3 linked regions of the Neodiprion lecontei genome follow. The protein of the gene in region 1 interacts with the protein of each later gene in a pairwise test. Links are inferred from orthologs where the notes say so. Each region holds a gene or a part of one and is shown in the gene's direction. Other genes may lie near its edges. The genes, in order: transcriptional activator cubitus interruptus-like, CREB-binding protein and importin subunit alpha-3.

Region 1 (5,253 bases):
ATCGCACTGTGTAACACGAGAACATACAGTAAGCCTGGCACGAAGACGTGTGTAAGTATAAAGGATACAATATACGCCCATAGTCGCTTATATGTTCACCCCGAAGAAGAGGCACCTGCGCCACATGCATACGTAGTTAGTTACCTATACATTAATACAACGAGTCCATACAAACCGATCCACGATACAAACTCGTACCTCTAATACCTATACAGAGCTCATAGCATAAACCGCGTCGGATACCGCTTTTTGCTCCATCTTGGCATGGAGAGAGAGAGTCATGGGGGGGAAACGCGGCGAAAGGGCGGCCGTCGAGGGGCCGGATTGGCGGCCCTCCCCCCTTCAACCGCGCCTCCGCCCCGCCAGATCGCGGTTACCTGCGGCTGCGACTTGGTGGGTACGCCGCATGAAGAGCCCCGTGAGCACCTATATACTCACACCTCGTACATCGGCGGTCTGTGCAGAAGGGGGGTAAAAGAGAGGACGGGATAGGAGAAGGATGGAGAGAGACAGAGAGAGAGAAAGAGAAAGAGAGAGAGAGAGAGAGAGAGAGAGAGAGAGAGAGAGAGAAACCGAGCGCTGCAGGTGGAGGCGGCCGCGTCACCCGCCCGTCCGCGGATTCGATTGAATCATTACGATGCGGTAGGTGGTTGCGTGGGTAACGGTGAGCAGCGGCGCCGAGAAGAGTTCTGCACCCTCGATTTCAGGATCTAATGACTCTATTCCGTTGATACGTACGGCGGTGCTCCGTTTCCGTACGATGTATCCTATCACCGGTTAGGTATGATACGTTTCGATGGTTCGGATCAGGATGTGGAGAGTTAAAGGTAAGGAGAAGTATCTCATATGGATATTCGAATGAGAAAGTGTTCGCCGATAAGCAGGAAGTAGGGTTTCAACGAGACACCGGAACGGTGCTCGTGAGGAATAAGGGAATCAATCCGATTGGAGCTTTGTGGAGCTTTCGCTGCAGCAACGCCATCCTAATTTCTCTCTACTTTACGGAACACTTTCCGCACACTGGAGATAGTCCTCCTTACCTCTACCCTCGATAGATTAGGGAAAGAGGGTTCACGTCGAGGGGCGGAAGGGACTGCGAAATTCAACTCTTGTGAAAACAGAAAGCGTCCTGCCGTATAAGCAGGATGACAACTCGCCCGTGTCTCTGCGGCTGTAACCTATACACGAGAAAGGAAAATTGGAGGAGAGAAAAAAAATAATAGGCGAAATAACGTGGAGACATCACCAGGGATCACCGGAAGTTGTTTCAACTCAACACCGAATTGGGACTTCGGCTCCGGTGGCATGTGGCAATAAATACCTATACTTGAGCGCGTCGGCGCGGAAAGGAGCGAACTCGGGACTAGTTCTCTCATTCCTCTATCTTGTAGGTCCCTCGAGTTTCCCGATCACCCCAATTGAGAGCTGACGGCACATCCGCTAAATTTCTTGACTTTTTACCATTATCATTATTACTGCACTTCTCGCCGTGTAACGCAACACCCCAAAGTTGGGGAACGTAGAGACAAATTCCTGGAGTGAAAAGTGAAATTCGTCCGACTCAATATCGACGATATCATTTTCCAGCTCCCGCCCCACGTTTTCATTCAAGACTCACCTATCTTACAAACTCACCGCAATTGCGCACGCAGGTTGTATAACGAAGGCTGTGCAGATCACTTTCACAAACGCAACGACACCACCTCGGTTATCTTCGTTTCTCCTCTCTTTCCTCCTCTTCCTCCCCCGCTATAGAAGAGGGAACGACGACACCCCACCTCGTCCACCTCGTCACGCGAAGAAGAAGAAGAGGAAGAAGAAGAGTAAGAAGAAGAAGAGTTCTCTTCTTCCGTCTTTGTCCCGCTGGAGAAGGACGGCGGGGAGGAGCGGTTGGGCTGTTGCAGCGCGAGGCTGGTGCTAGTTGAGTTGTCGAGCTGACACGCGCTTTCAGCCCTCTCCTCTCCTCTCTCCTCTCTTCGCTCTTCTCTCCTCTCCTCTCCTCTCGACTCCTCTCCTCCCTCCTACGCGCCACCACTCTCGGACAACTCTGCTCTCCTCGTCGCGCTACCCCTGGCTATTCCTCTCTCCCTCGCTCTTATTTTCAGTTTTCTCTCATCTTCTCACTCGCACAGCACCACCAGGCAGGCGGTGCCGCCGCCGAGAACGAGTGCCGGGAATGCCTGGCCGCCCCTCTCTTCGCATCGCCGAGGACTCAGTACCGCCATACCCGTCAAAGCGTAAGGAGCGCGACATCACGTGGAACTACAAACACGTTGTTTCTCTACACCCACGATATCGCATCGCACCGTACTCAAGACCCAGTATTTCCATCGAATTCGACCACGAGTCCCTTCGCTCCTTATCATATTCCAACGGCAATTTGGATTTCTTTTCTTTTTCGGCTTTTCCGCAAGTGTGCGAATTCGGACTGTCGCTGTCACTTCGAGTGTCTCGTTTAAACCGCGGCGTGTTTAAAATAAAGAGATAAAACTTGCTGTCGGTCGAGTTTATCTCAACGTATGAGAAAAACAACACAAAACGTGCAAGATGAAGAAGGATTGACGTGAAGGATGTGCGGCAACCAAACCGATAACACAGTGATTAATACTTAGCCGCAAAAAGTGATCGAAATAAAAAGAATTCATCTGTAACTGGGGGGTGTGAAGTTTGAGTGGATTTTTTACGATTCGTCGAGAAATATACTGGAGGAAAGTAAATGAAAAATGCAAATAATGTAACCGCGTGGTTTAAATTAAGCCGTATGCGAACGTCACCCCGTGTGTGAAATTCTGCGTTGCAATCGAGAAAGAGAGAGAGAAAGCGAGAGAGAGGGGAAGAAAAAAAACACTAGTGCGGTAAAAAAGTTGACTCGCAATCAGGATTAGTTCGGGTAAAGAGTCCAGCTCAGGGGATCGGATCGGTAAGAATGTCAGCGAAGAACGAGGACCCGAATCAGGGTTAGGGACCGTCGGGGCCCATCGGCGACCAGCAACCGTCGATATCCTGGGCCGGGATACGCGAGAACTAAACCGCAACCACCGACGAAGAACCCGGACGATAAGCGACGGCCATGCGGATCAGGGTGAAACTGACGTCGAGTACAATAAAGGACCTGCAGAAATCGTCGCCGCGACGAACCCGGGATATTTAGGCGGCCCCCTCGACTCGGATCGCGGGTTCCACCTACGGCTGGAAGACCGACGTCGGTGTCCGAGCGACGCCGACTTCCTCGAGCACATCGGTTACGGGGCGAACTTCCGGGCAGCCAGGAACAGGGCGTTGACAACCCGGGAGATAGAGCTGGAGGTTGAACTCGAGGCGGCCAAGATGCCCGAGAAGGAAGTCGCCTACCATCAAGAGACCTTCTCCCTTTTGCCACCGCCACCGCCCCCGCCCCACCACCACCATCACCACTCGGCTTTTCACGCCGCGTTTCACCCCCACGGACATCCACCGCCGCCCTTTCACCCCCATCATGGACCGACGGCTCATCACCCCGCCGCAGCTGCCGCAGCCGCAGCCGCAGCCGCCGCATGGGAGCACCACGCCGCAGCGGCGGCCGCAGCAGCAGCCGCGTTTCACGCACCGCCTCCGCACCATCCGTAAGTCCCAGTTTTCGATCCTTCTTCAATCGCAGTCCGCGGATAATGTTTGAGAACCGCCGATTGTTTGCACTCTTCGCCAGATTTATGCATACCTAACCTTCGCTTATATCTGCACGGAACGTTTTTAGACAGACCACGATACGTATTCCGGAAGTTTTGACCGATCAAGCTTGAGCAAAGACTCAAATTGTCACGGATACCGGGTTCCAGTAATCGTCAATGAATGGTTGAGATTGAGTGGTACGAATCGTTTACCACTTCATGCGCGTCAGGTTTCAATGATCCATCACGAACCGATTACTCAAGCTTGGTGATACAGTAAGGATTTGAGTTTGCAATAAAACTTGATAGATATTATAGAAACGTTAACTTCGTGCACAGAATCCGATTCCTTACTAACACATTGCCCAAACACGTCGACCAAAACTGCTAAATGTAGAACAAGCGAAACCAAGAAATCGGTGAGACAGAAAAGTGCTTATCACGTCGAAGAGAGAATCAACGCGATAATGAATCTTCGGTTATTATATATAGAACATACAAGACTGATTTCTCTGACAGATATGATGGGGTGCAATATGACGGAGAATGAAAAAGAAATATTGTACGCGTTGAAAGTTTGTCAAGGTTTCAAATGGAGTTAAGCTAATTGCCGCGTATATCTCCCAACATTGTTTTCCTTCTTCTTCCACCGCGCAGTAACATTAGACTATCACTGCACTTATCATTACCTACCTATATAGTAACGTTTGACGGAATCGTTCGTTAGGCTCTGCTGTTCGTAACACGCGGCACCCGAGAGTACACAGACTAAACACGATTCGAGTCCCCCGATCTTCATAGTTGGAGATTACCGCGAGCCGCGGCATCGAGTTGCAAAAAGATATAACGCGATTATACAACTAACGGCGTTCCGAGTTGATATCGGGGTATATATATAGTAGTTTGATATTATAAAATACAAACAACGCACACGGACGGACTCTCGATGAATCGGGCGCGGTATCAGTGCCGGAAAAGAATAAAGAGGCCGATGTATATTTTTGGCAATCTAAAACCTCGCGTGTTCCCATCATCATCATCATTATCATCATCATCATCATCATCATCATCATCATCATCGTCGTCATCGTCGTCTTCGTTCCTCCGTTCACTCTTTGTCGGGAAAGAGAGACCTTGCGCGGATCTTTGTTTTGTTATGTAGATTAGCGCAGGTATAAAGGTATATAAGCCAAAAGCAATTCACCTTGCTGAAAGATGAAAAGAAATTTTTCATGGATTCTTTTCAGAACAGATGGGGGATATTCGAGTTCATTATATCGATAGAACGTCAATCTTCGGGGGGGCATATGCACAACCTGCGACCAGCAGTTGCGTGCATCGCAGGACACTACACGATATACGTACCAATAATATACATGATAAAACTGATTGCCGCGCTCGTTCATATAGGTGATCACCTATACACACATACCTGCTTTATAATTGTGCAGTAAAATTAACCGCCTATCTCAAGTTGATACTCAGATAACAACGGCACCTCGGTAACCCTTGCATTCCATTCTTGTCACTGCGGTGTTGCTACCGAGTGCCTGCACTTGCGGCAAGCACTCACCACGGTGCGTGCAACATTGTCACAGTACCGCAC
Region 2 (5,253 bases), on another chromosome or scaffold:
CTGGAAGTAATGCTACAATGTCGATTCCGGGTGGAATGAATTCCGGACTTGTCATGACGAGCAGTGCCAGTGGGAACAATAATATGGGTGGAATGGCAGGAGGAGGTTTGATCGTGGCAAACAGTCTGAATAAGCAACCCTTAAATACCGTAAGCTCTTTTGCGACTTATTTCTTTACCCATACTACCTGTTTACATATTGTGTATATTCTACCCTAATACTAACGAACATATTTAACGGATGATTCTGGTACGGGTGAACTTAATTGTACATCAACTATCTAGCTTGTTGATACGAAAATATTTTTGTCCTACCAGAATTTCATTTCTGGGCCTGGTTTATAGCAATATATAAGCTTTGTTTCTGGACTACTGAGCTTTCAAATATACTGCTGATAACGTTACGCTTTTGGGAACCGTCATAAAGTACAGAAATACGATATAAAAATCATAGAAAAAAGTTATATATATTTATTTTCATCAAACGGGACGGAAGAGTGGTAAAGACGGTTACCCCTGGGAGAATTTTGTGACGGCTGGTGGGCCTGAGTGTGCCCGGAGATATAATGTAGAAATTTCCTGCAATTCTCGACTACACACTATAAGAAGCAGTTTTAAACCACCTGGTAACTACAGTCAACTCCCATACCCCAGGACCGCCAACACGCAATTTCATATGACACATAAAACTCAGTCAGGGTAACTGTCTTTACAGACTACTGTCGCCGTGTTAGACAGCTCATTCTTGCAACGATTGTGCGAATCTTCAAAAAATCAAATATTTTTATGACTAGTACAAGATTCAACATTTCTATTAAAGGACACAATTAATTTATTAACTATTTCTATTCCAATGATTTCATTTCATTAAAATTTATCACATGTGACCAACTTTCCAAACAATCTGTATCTATGCTGTACGTCTACATGTACTATGATTGATAAAGATACGCATGTCCACAGATTAGTTTGCAAGTGGATATATCGATTAGGTATAATAAAATACGTTTGTCGATAACATGCGCTCTATGATTGTGTCAAAGCAGTCCATTCTCCAACTATTACAGAAAAAAATTCCGAGGACTATAAACCAGTTAAAGTCTTATAACTTGAACGCACCCCTTCATGTGGCTCCTTTCTTCTTTCTTGCTGTCATACAAATCTAGTCAATGGGGATTCTATATTCTTTTATCCTAATTGCAGTACCAAACACATTCGGCATTGAAATATAATATTTTCTGTTTTTACATTTGACGGATCAGAGTTTCGTCATTTCATGATTGTGAAAATAAAGTGCCGATTAGCATGCTTCTTAATAATGTCAACCTTTTTTAGGTAACAATGATTGGCTCAAATGCTCAAGGCATACATCACTCTGCTGGACCTCATGGTGTAGGCCAAATGCCAAATGGTCCAGCTGGAATGATGACTGCTAGGGCTGTTGTTATGCAGCAGCAACAACAACAACAACAACAACAGCAACAGCAACAAGTGCAGCAGCAACAACAGCAGCAACAAGCACAGCAGCAACAGCAGCAGGCGCAACAGCAGCAGCAGCAGCAGCAGCAGCAACAACAACAACAACAACAACAACAACAACAACAACAACAACAACAACAACAACAGCAACAACAACAACAGCAGCAGCAGCAACAACAACAACAACAGCAACAACAGCAGCAGCAGCAGCAACAACAGCAGCAGCAACAGCAGCAAGCTCATATGGTAGGCTCAGCAAGGGGCCAGAGTCCTCACCAACAAGTGCACCAAGGAGGAATGGTTGGACCTAGAATGCCAGCTCCACCAAACATGGCAAATATGTCGAATATGGGACAAATGGGTGCTTCGAGTCCGTATGGTTATGGTAAGTAAAATTCATAGATCTTGTTCTTCATGTACTTGCAATATATAAATAAGAATTGTATACTGACTCATAGATAACTCAGCATCTCTGCTGATCTTTAATATGGAATACACAAATACTTTGAAAGATAACTTACTTCCTCAAAGCTTTGAAGATTTTTTCATTATCGATGATGACAGAAATGGTCAAATTTGTTCTGCTGACTTTTCGCTTGTAGGAAAAAAAATTTCAAAGTTAATTATATCGAGTCATTTTGTGTTTGTCTAAATGTACTTGTTATAGTTTTGAGGGTTATTGAAGCTGGAAAATTTGGTGAATTCAGCCAGCCAATGCAACAGTTTGATTTAAAAAAAATAATAATTTACCACAAATTTGTTTCAAACGTGCATATAAATTCATTTTTCTTTTCTGATTTACAAGTAAAATGTTCATCAGGGTCTCCAGGTGGTGCACCAGCTCCAAGTGTCGGGACCAATAACCCAGTTGCTGTTGTTGCTCCTCAACAAAGACCGGCAGGGGCAAATATGAACGCCATGCAAGTTGCCAGATTTGGTGGTCCGGCTGGACCTATTGGACCAGGAAATATTGTTGGCGGCCAGGAAGGTGGGATGGCTCAACAAGCACAACCACCAGCACCAAGTCCGGCGCAGCCACAGTCAGGTGCACCAAGTGGAGGGCAACCCGGTCCTCAACAAGCAACACAGGGCCAAATGCCTGGCAGCGGTCCCCAACGAGGTTTGTTTTAATAATCAGAGTCCAAAAATTCAGTTTTCCTCAATTTTCAGAAACTGGAATGAAACTCTTCACTGGTGACATTTTGTTTCTTAAATTGTATACCGATTACTTCCTGTTAGCGTTTAAATATAAATTCTTAATGTCAATATCAGTGATTGGATTGTAAATGTAAAAAAAATTTTTATTATTAAGTTAATATTGTGAATATTCACTGAGCAAATCGAACTTTACACATTTCTTTCTCTTCTGGGTAATGAAATCATTTCACACTTTGGGAAATGATAGTGTTTATAAATTTGCTCGTGTGGTCATTGGAAAAGATTTGGAAAGTTGACGAAAACACCACAAATATACTTTCAGCTAATTGTTATTTACTTTTAGGTTATCGCACGCTACTAATATCGGAATCTCCATATTTTTACATTTACTATTTATTATCCATACTGTTCTAACTTATCACACAAATGCAATCGTGAACCCTGTAATTTTCCAATGTTTGAAACACTTTTGTTGCTTCACAGAAGAAAAATCGTGCAAAATGCTGATTGAATTTGTTGTAAAACTTGACAGTTCGACAGCCCCTTGACATCATTCAAATGAAACTATAGAGTTGAAAAAAAATGAACAATTTGCTGAACTTTTCGCAGGTGCTCCTCCGTCGACAGCTGATCCTGAAAAGAGAAAATTGATTCAGCAACAACTGGTCTTGCTATTACACGCGCACAAATGCCAGAGGCGAGAGAGTCAGGCTAATGGAGAAGTGTGTCAGTGCACATTGCCACATTGTAAAACTATGAAGAATGTTCTGAATCACATGACGACATGCGCAGCTGGGAAGACTTGTTCTGTACCACATTGCAGCTCGTCTAGGCAAATAATAAGCCATTGGAAACACTGTGAACGAAGCGACTGTCCTGTCTGCTTACCTCTAAAGCAGGCGGATAAAAACAGGCATCCAAACGCTGCTGGTGGTAAGAACTTTATTTCAAACTATATTGTTGACTTAAAAAGGAGCATGGGTCTTCATTTTACATATCGTTCTCTTTTGCGACTATTGTTTTAAATAAAATATGTTCATGATTCGCATAAGACGGAACTGCATCTAAATCAGAACAATTGAAACACATCTTTTTTTTTAACCAGGATAATTTGAATAACTGAAACAGCCTGATGAATTCATAGGGTTGTTACAAACCTGGACACCTATCATAACACCCAGGCTAATTTTTGATTATTGGAACACTTAGGTTATTTACTAGATATTTTTATTGGATAACGTTTGGTATGAGAATTTACCTTATATTATCAATTACGGGTAATTTTGGATTTTACTAAAACTTTGAAGTGCAGTTTGAGGTACTAGATTTTTACCTTCACTCAATATGTTTCGTTAGGAATCAAGCTTTTCATTGTTAATGATTTGATGTCTATTAAGTAAAATATAGTAACAGGATACATTTTTCTCTCAACATTCTCTATTAAAAGGACATTTCAGCCGTTGGAATCTTGAAAAATTAGGGAATTTTGGAAGTGAAAATTTGTAACAACCCTGAATAAACACCCGTAACAGTCAGAATTACTTTTAAACTCAGTATTAGCTGTTCAGGATCTAAATGTGAGGAGTTTTGTTCATGGGGTACGCACTAAATGTCTTAATTTCCGACCAATTTCCGATGATTGATTACTCGTATTCATGTTCTCAAACTGGTCTCTAAAGTTCTGTGAAAGATTCGGCAGAACCGCGATTATTAATGCTCATTTCTTACTATTTTCATTCATTTCTATTGAGAAAATTTGAGTTGGTATGTGAAAGACATAGAGTGGGCTTATTTATTAGATTTATCAATTTGTTGTTTTAAGCCCGCTAGAGTCTGAAGGTGCATTTACATTCAAAGTAATTCTACCATAAGGTGGAGGAGGGAAAAGTACAAGTTTTGGAAATAATATTTTTGTTTCCTTGAATGTTAGATTTATGGTCCCATTTGCAAGAAGAATCGAGCAACGAAAACTGGGTAGTCGAACATGCTGTGTGCCCTGAAAGTGAACGAAACAGATTTGATAAGCGGCGGGCCCAACATAATATCTGTGTGTTGATTAAAGGTTATCCCAAAAATTATGCATAGGTATCCCTGCACTTTCTACTTTTAAATACTTGTTTACAATGTCTTGTCCCCCTCACGTGGTTGCTCAAAAAGTGTAATTTCGTTTTTTCGTTAAAAATAAAGGAATGATTGAACTTTGCTTCATTAAAAAAGAAAGAATCTAGTTTCACTGAGCCAACGACAATGATTATCATTCCCAATGGCCAATTTATATTTCAATAAAGTGGTATGTGAAAGTTTACGAGAACTTTTGAATCGTACCAAAGCATTACATCCAAAGTATGCTACGTGTAGTTCAGGAACACATCGAATTTTCCATTCAGTTTTTAGTGAGGGAATTTTACGTCGTGAATGATATTCCTTGCTCTATGGTATTGTTTGCTAATATTATAATACTGAGAGCTGATAATTTGAGTCAGATTGTAATATCTGTTTGCTTTGTGAAGATTGTTATTTACTAAGGCAGGTAAAACTCATACAAATATTTTGAATACATTATTTCATTACATTATCGAAAGTGATCGAGCAATTAAGCGATGATGTATTTAAATTG
Region 3 (5,253 bases), on another chromosome or scaffold:
CACTATCCACAATGTGACCACAATACTGCATAATATAAACACATTGTATAAATTAAAATGCGGCAAGAGTTTTGTACTAATAAAAACTGGAAACACAATGAAACATTTTAAAGTATTAGTACATTTATTTGAAAAAATATAACGATCAATTTACAGTGTTTAATTTCCTAGTACAAAGTTAATCTCCAAATGATGGATTTACAGCTAAGATTTTATTTATTTCATCGACAAGAAATCTTGCTTCATTTTCACTAAAAATTAGAGAGTGTATGCACTTTTCTTCAACATCTCTAATCATATCATCTAACACCAGCCTAATTTGTTTCAGATCGTAAAAGCAATGATTTCTTCCCAAATACCAAGTGTGAAAACTAATCACAGGAGTATCCTTCATGATCAGAGCCATACGTTTCTTCGATAGGAATGAGAGGAACTTGTAGAATTGTACATAGTCCATGCCATGTGAAGCTTTCAACATTAATTGACAGTGATCATCCCAACCATCCATATCACGACAGTCTTCAACTTCTCTCATCACAGCACAAAGTTCTTTTTTTAAGGAAATCCATACATTCCAAACATTGCAAGCATTGATCCAATTATGATTGATAGAAATAGTGTCTTCCTAAAAAAATGCATTTATTTAATCAGCATTTAGTTATAACCTGGTGCTTACAGTACTGAAAATTAGTACCAAATTCCAAACTTGATGATGCCACCCAGATGGAATGAATACTATTTCACCAGGTTGTTGAATAATTTCATAACGTTTGAGTCTATCTTCATCATAATTTGGATACATTGTTTGATTCAACAACTCATTGGAAGTTGTTATGTCATAGATTAATTTCCCATGCTTATCTCGCAGACTCTCTTCGTCCCCAGGTGCAAAGAGAAGCCAGCGTTTTTTTCCAACTATATTAGCTGACCAGCTATAGGATGAGAAGACATCTGCATGAAATGGTGTCCTAAAAGTACACGAAAGCAATAAGAATTCTATCAACAAATAGAATTGCTCATTTTAACATAATTGTAGCTATACCATGTTCCTTTTGGACCCATGTAGATAAACATATAATCGTCATTTAATTCTTCCTGTTCTGTGTAATATTCGTTTAACCAATCAGAGGCAAAATACTGGGGAACATTATAGATTGGGATATGTGGATTATTTTTTACGCAATGCCAGTCCTTTAGATATAGTAAAGGCATATTTTTTGGATCACTAAGGTCACGATATGTGATCCAATAGTCGACATAATCAGCCAATGCCATATCATCCTTCAGTTGGGAATTGTAGTATTTTGCTGTACAGTCAGCCACAGGTGCAATACAAGATCCTACGAGAAAATTTTGCTTACTTCACAAGTATGTTTGTAATTGGGAAATGAATTCATTACGATATTCTATTCCATGATTTTTTCTTCATTCAAAATGGATCAATTTCGAAACAGTCTAAACTCTAGTTTCATGTTTAGTGGTGAATATTATTGAGTGCGTAGCTCTCACCGAATACTCTTTTGATGTATTCGAAATTTGGCGCGTTGTCTGCTTGCCACATTTGTCTGCACGGCCATGCATCCGTGGCAGATTGGATCACGCAGGGAATATTGTTCTGTAAATATCTTCTAAAATATTCATTGTACGATAAAGAGTGATTGACATATCCAGTGACGTTATTTTCGACTGATGTTCCGAATTCGTGGTATGCGTAATCGTTAGAAATATCTATAACTTTGGTCATTCCGCGTTTACTGTAAATTTATTTTAGGTTAGGTTCTCTCTTTTCGGATGAATCGGATGAAACTACTTTATATCGATCTAGAGTGGAACCACGATAGTAAAATCCGTAGAATCGAAATGCAAGAGTACGCAAGCGCCTCTAATAGGTTCATGGTTAAAGCGTTTTGATGTTCGTCAACTTCGAGGTGGTCAGCCTGTGTGGTAACTTTGTATAATTTCGGAACACCGTCTTCTTGATTCTTCTCGTTTTTCCCAGAGGTGAAAAAGCTGTATTTGTTGAGAGAAACGTGACTTTATTCGCGTGAATAGCCGAAACGAAATCTGTTATGCATGGTAGTGCATATTCGAGTATTTTAATTAATCACGCTACGGAATGCAGTAGTTAAAATAGATTGTGAAATAGGTTTGTTAACGAGGAAATTTCTGAACATAGTGTCTCTGTGAAACCGGCACATCGCATCTACGCTAGGACGAACATTGGTTATCGCAAAAATGGCGTCTGATCCACTAAATAAGAACCGAATGCAAGTTTTCAAGAACAAAGGAAAAGATCAAGACGTAAGTATCCGTATTACGAGTAGATAATCTTCTCTTAGTATAGCGTTGTATTTATTTTACTAAAAATTCTCTGTCCCTGCCACACGATTTTAATACATTGATACCACGGACTCTTCAAACCTTCAGTCATGTTTGGTATTTTAACCATTTAATCAGTGACTCACCTATATACACCTCACAATTGGATCATTTTTAAGAAATTTTCAAGGAATCATTTTCACGTTCTGTTCCGTCGATACGATGGCACGCGAAAATTCGGATATGAAATTTTTTTCATTTCGAATAAGCATGCCTTGGGCAGTAACGGAAAAAAAAAATTGTGAAAAAAATATGAATACCATATCCGTACTGAGGTATTGTTTCTTCTTAATAAGAAGTTATTTCAGGAGATGCGCAGGAGAAGGAATGAAGTCACCGTAGAGCTCCGGAAGAATAAACGTGAAGAAACGCTACAGAAACGGAGAAACGTACCAATTACAGATTCCACGGGTAAGGTGACGTCTGATAGAATGTTATTAGTTTGGGCTACTTGTATCAGTTTCGTGAATACCTTACTTATTGTTGAATCGTAATTGGGAGGTATAAGCAATATTGGAGGGATTTATTCCTCATGTAGTTGCAAATCTAGTATTTTTAGGTAGACAAACTCTAGTTCTCAATCATAGAATAATATATAATAAAGATATAATAAATAGAAAAATTAATCTAGTCATCTCATTTTATAATCTACGACGAATATTTGGTATACTTGATGAATCAATTGCTCTGTAACATGACGTTCTTTCTCATTTTATTATAAAGTTCATGCGTTACAAGAGCATTATGTCTAGATATTCAATTGAATAATAAATTGGTTAATTAGATGAAGAAGATGTGGAGAAAAATTTGGCAAAGATCGATTTGGGTGAACTGGTAGCCAAAGCAGGGAGCGCTGAATCCGCCGAGCAGTTGATTGCCGTCCAATCTGCACGAAAATTACTGTCTTCAGATCGTAATCCTCCAATAGACGCCTTGATTGATAGCGGAATCCTGCCAATTTTGGTACACTGTCTTGAACGACATGACCAGTAAGTTGAAATACCGATGTCTTTAAATCAACGTTGTGAATACATATTTTATGCATACAACATGAGTGCATATTCACACGGTTACTTTAAAACACATCAATAAAAAACCAATTAGGAGTAATAGTATTCCTTTTTTGTTATATTTCATCAATGAATATTTCTCTATTATTTTATAACATGAGAAGCAGTATGATACATACAGCATTATTCTTGCAACACCTGCTCAGAAAGCTGGATTTTCAGATTGTAGAGCGTGGGTAAAATATTTTTTCTGAACAATGCAAATAAAAAGTGGGTGTACATGCACATTTGAAAGCTTCTACTTTTCATGCTATGGATTTTTGGCGCATACACATTTACAAATAAATCAATTTTATGCACTATCTGTGACTGCTTCATTGAGCGCAAGTTACCTAGCCGAAATGTCAGTGTCACTTTCGTTACTTTTTAAATCAAACTTTCCCTGCAGGTATTACAAAAAATATGACATGTGACACGTGTCGACAAGCAATACCTGACTCGTGTGATTGCAGTACTTGCCCTTGTGCTGCTAGCCACACTCGTTTGGTTATTGCCTATTTACGCACTTGTCAAATAATGTACTATTATTTTTCAGTCCATCCTTGCAGTTTGAAGCAGCATGGGCATTGACGAACATTGCAAGCGGAACATCTGCTCAGACACAGGCAGTTGTTAAAGCTGGTGCAGTGCCATTATTTTTACATCTTTTATTGTCCAGCCAGCAAAATGTCTGTGAACAAGCAGTATGGGCTCTAGGTAAGGAATCTAACCATGCTGTGGTTTACGTAATTTTTATAAATTGTTTTATCGAATTTATTATTTGTCCCTAGGAAATATTATAGGGGATGGGCCAGCGCTGCGAGATTATGTAATAAACCTTGGCGTTGTGCCACCGCTTTTAACTTTCATTAAGCCAGATATACCTATCACCTTCTTGCGGAACGTTACGTGGGTGATAGTCAACTTGTGTAGAAACAAAGATCCCCCTCCACCAGTAGGGACAATTAAAGACATTTTACCAGCACTTAATGTACTTATTCTACACACGGACATTAATGTGAGTAGATCGTCATGTCCAGTATCACGTTATTCTTCCCTAACGAATCTCAGGTTGTGCAGTTTCAACTTTTGATAATCTATCAAAGACTGGATCAACATTTGGCTTTTGTTTTTCCCATAGATTCTCGTTGACACAGTGTGGGCTCTGAGTTATTTGACTGATGGTGGAAATGAACAGATTCAAATGGTCATAGACAGCGGAGTCGTACCTCGTCTAATTCCTCTGCTCTCTCACAAAGAGGTCAAAGTTCAAACGGCTGCTCTCAGAGCTGTTGGCAATATCGTTACTGGTACCGATGAGCAGACGCAAACGGTCTTGAATTGTGATGCTTTGTCCCATTTCCCTAACTTGCTAACTCATCCTAAGGAGAAAATTTGCAAGGAAGCCGTATGGTTCCTGTCAAACATTACTGCTGGCAATCAATCTCAAGTTCAGGCTGTAATTGACGAGCAGCTATTGCCACTTATTATTAGTAACTTGTCAAAGGTATTTAAATTCAATCACAATTATTCAGTTGACTTGATTAACGAATTCTCATTTGTTCAAAATCTAACACGCCATATTCTACGATTGGGCAGGGTGAATTCCAGACTCAGAAAGAAGCAGCATGGGCGATCAGTAATTTAACGATAAGTGGAAACAGAGAGCAGGTGGCACGCCTGATTCAAGAGGGGGTAATTGCACCATTCTGCGATCTACTGTCTTGCAAAGATAGTCAGGTTGTTCAAGTTGTGCTTGATGGTATCCACAATATGCTCAAAATGGCGGGAAGTCAAGTTGAACAGCTGGCCAATATGATTGAAG

Evidence for each region.
Region 2: the proteins of transcriptional activator cubitus interruptus-like (region 1) and CREB-binding protein interact in a two-hybrid assay, tested with the Drosophila melanogaster proteins (3 studies listed by BioGRID). The link is inferred for Neodiprion lecontei from reciprocal best matches to the Drosophila melanogaster genes ci and nej.
Region 3: the proteins of transcriptional activator cubitus interruptus-like (region 1) and importin subunit alpha-3 interact in a two-hybrid assay, tested with the Drosophila melanogaster proteins (2 studies listed by BioGRID). The link is inferred for Neodiprion lecontei from reciprocal best matches to the Drosophila melanogaster genes ci and Kap-alpha3.

What each region holds. Positions count from the first base shown.
Region 1 is NC_060260.1:7,976,807-7,982,059, forward strand, and holds the start of transcriptional activator cubitus interruptus-like, read left to right. Parts: upstream 1-2,230; 5' UTR 2,231-3,327; coding exon 3,328-3,602; intron 3,603-5,253. UniProt on the Drosophila melanogaster protein: Has a dual function as a transcriptional activator and a repressor of the hedgehog (Hh) pathway. The full-length ci form (ciFL), acts as an activator (ciA) while ciR, its C-terminally truncated form, acts as a repressor. Involved in segment polarity.
Region 2 is NC_060265.1:8,993,406-8,998,658, forward strand, and holds the start of CREB-binding protein, read left to right. Parts: upstream 1-1,595; 5' UTR 1,596-1,721; coding exon 1,722-1,863; intron 1,864-2,283; coding exon 2,284-2,598; intron 2,599-3,245; coding exon 3,246-3,569; intron 3,570-5,253.
Region 3 is NC_060261.1:35,295,925-35,301,177, reverse strand, and holds the start of importin subunit alpha-3, read left to right. Parts: upstream 1-2,008; 5' UTR 2,009-2,235; coding exon 2,236-2,301; intron 2,302-2,675; coding exon 2,676-2,790; intron 2,791-3,163; coding exon 3,164-3,368; intron 3,369-3,984; coding exon 3,985-4,145; intron 4,146-4,219; coding exon 4,220-4,446; intron 4,447-4,569; coding exon 4,570-4,935; intron 4,936-5,027; coding exon 5,028-5,253. Other genes in the region: 2-oxoglutarate and iron-dependent oxygenase JMJD4, read right to left, coding at 179-625, 695-968, 1,043-1,340, 1,510-1,744.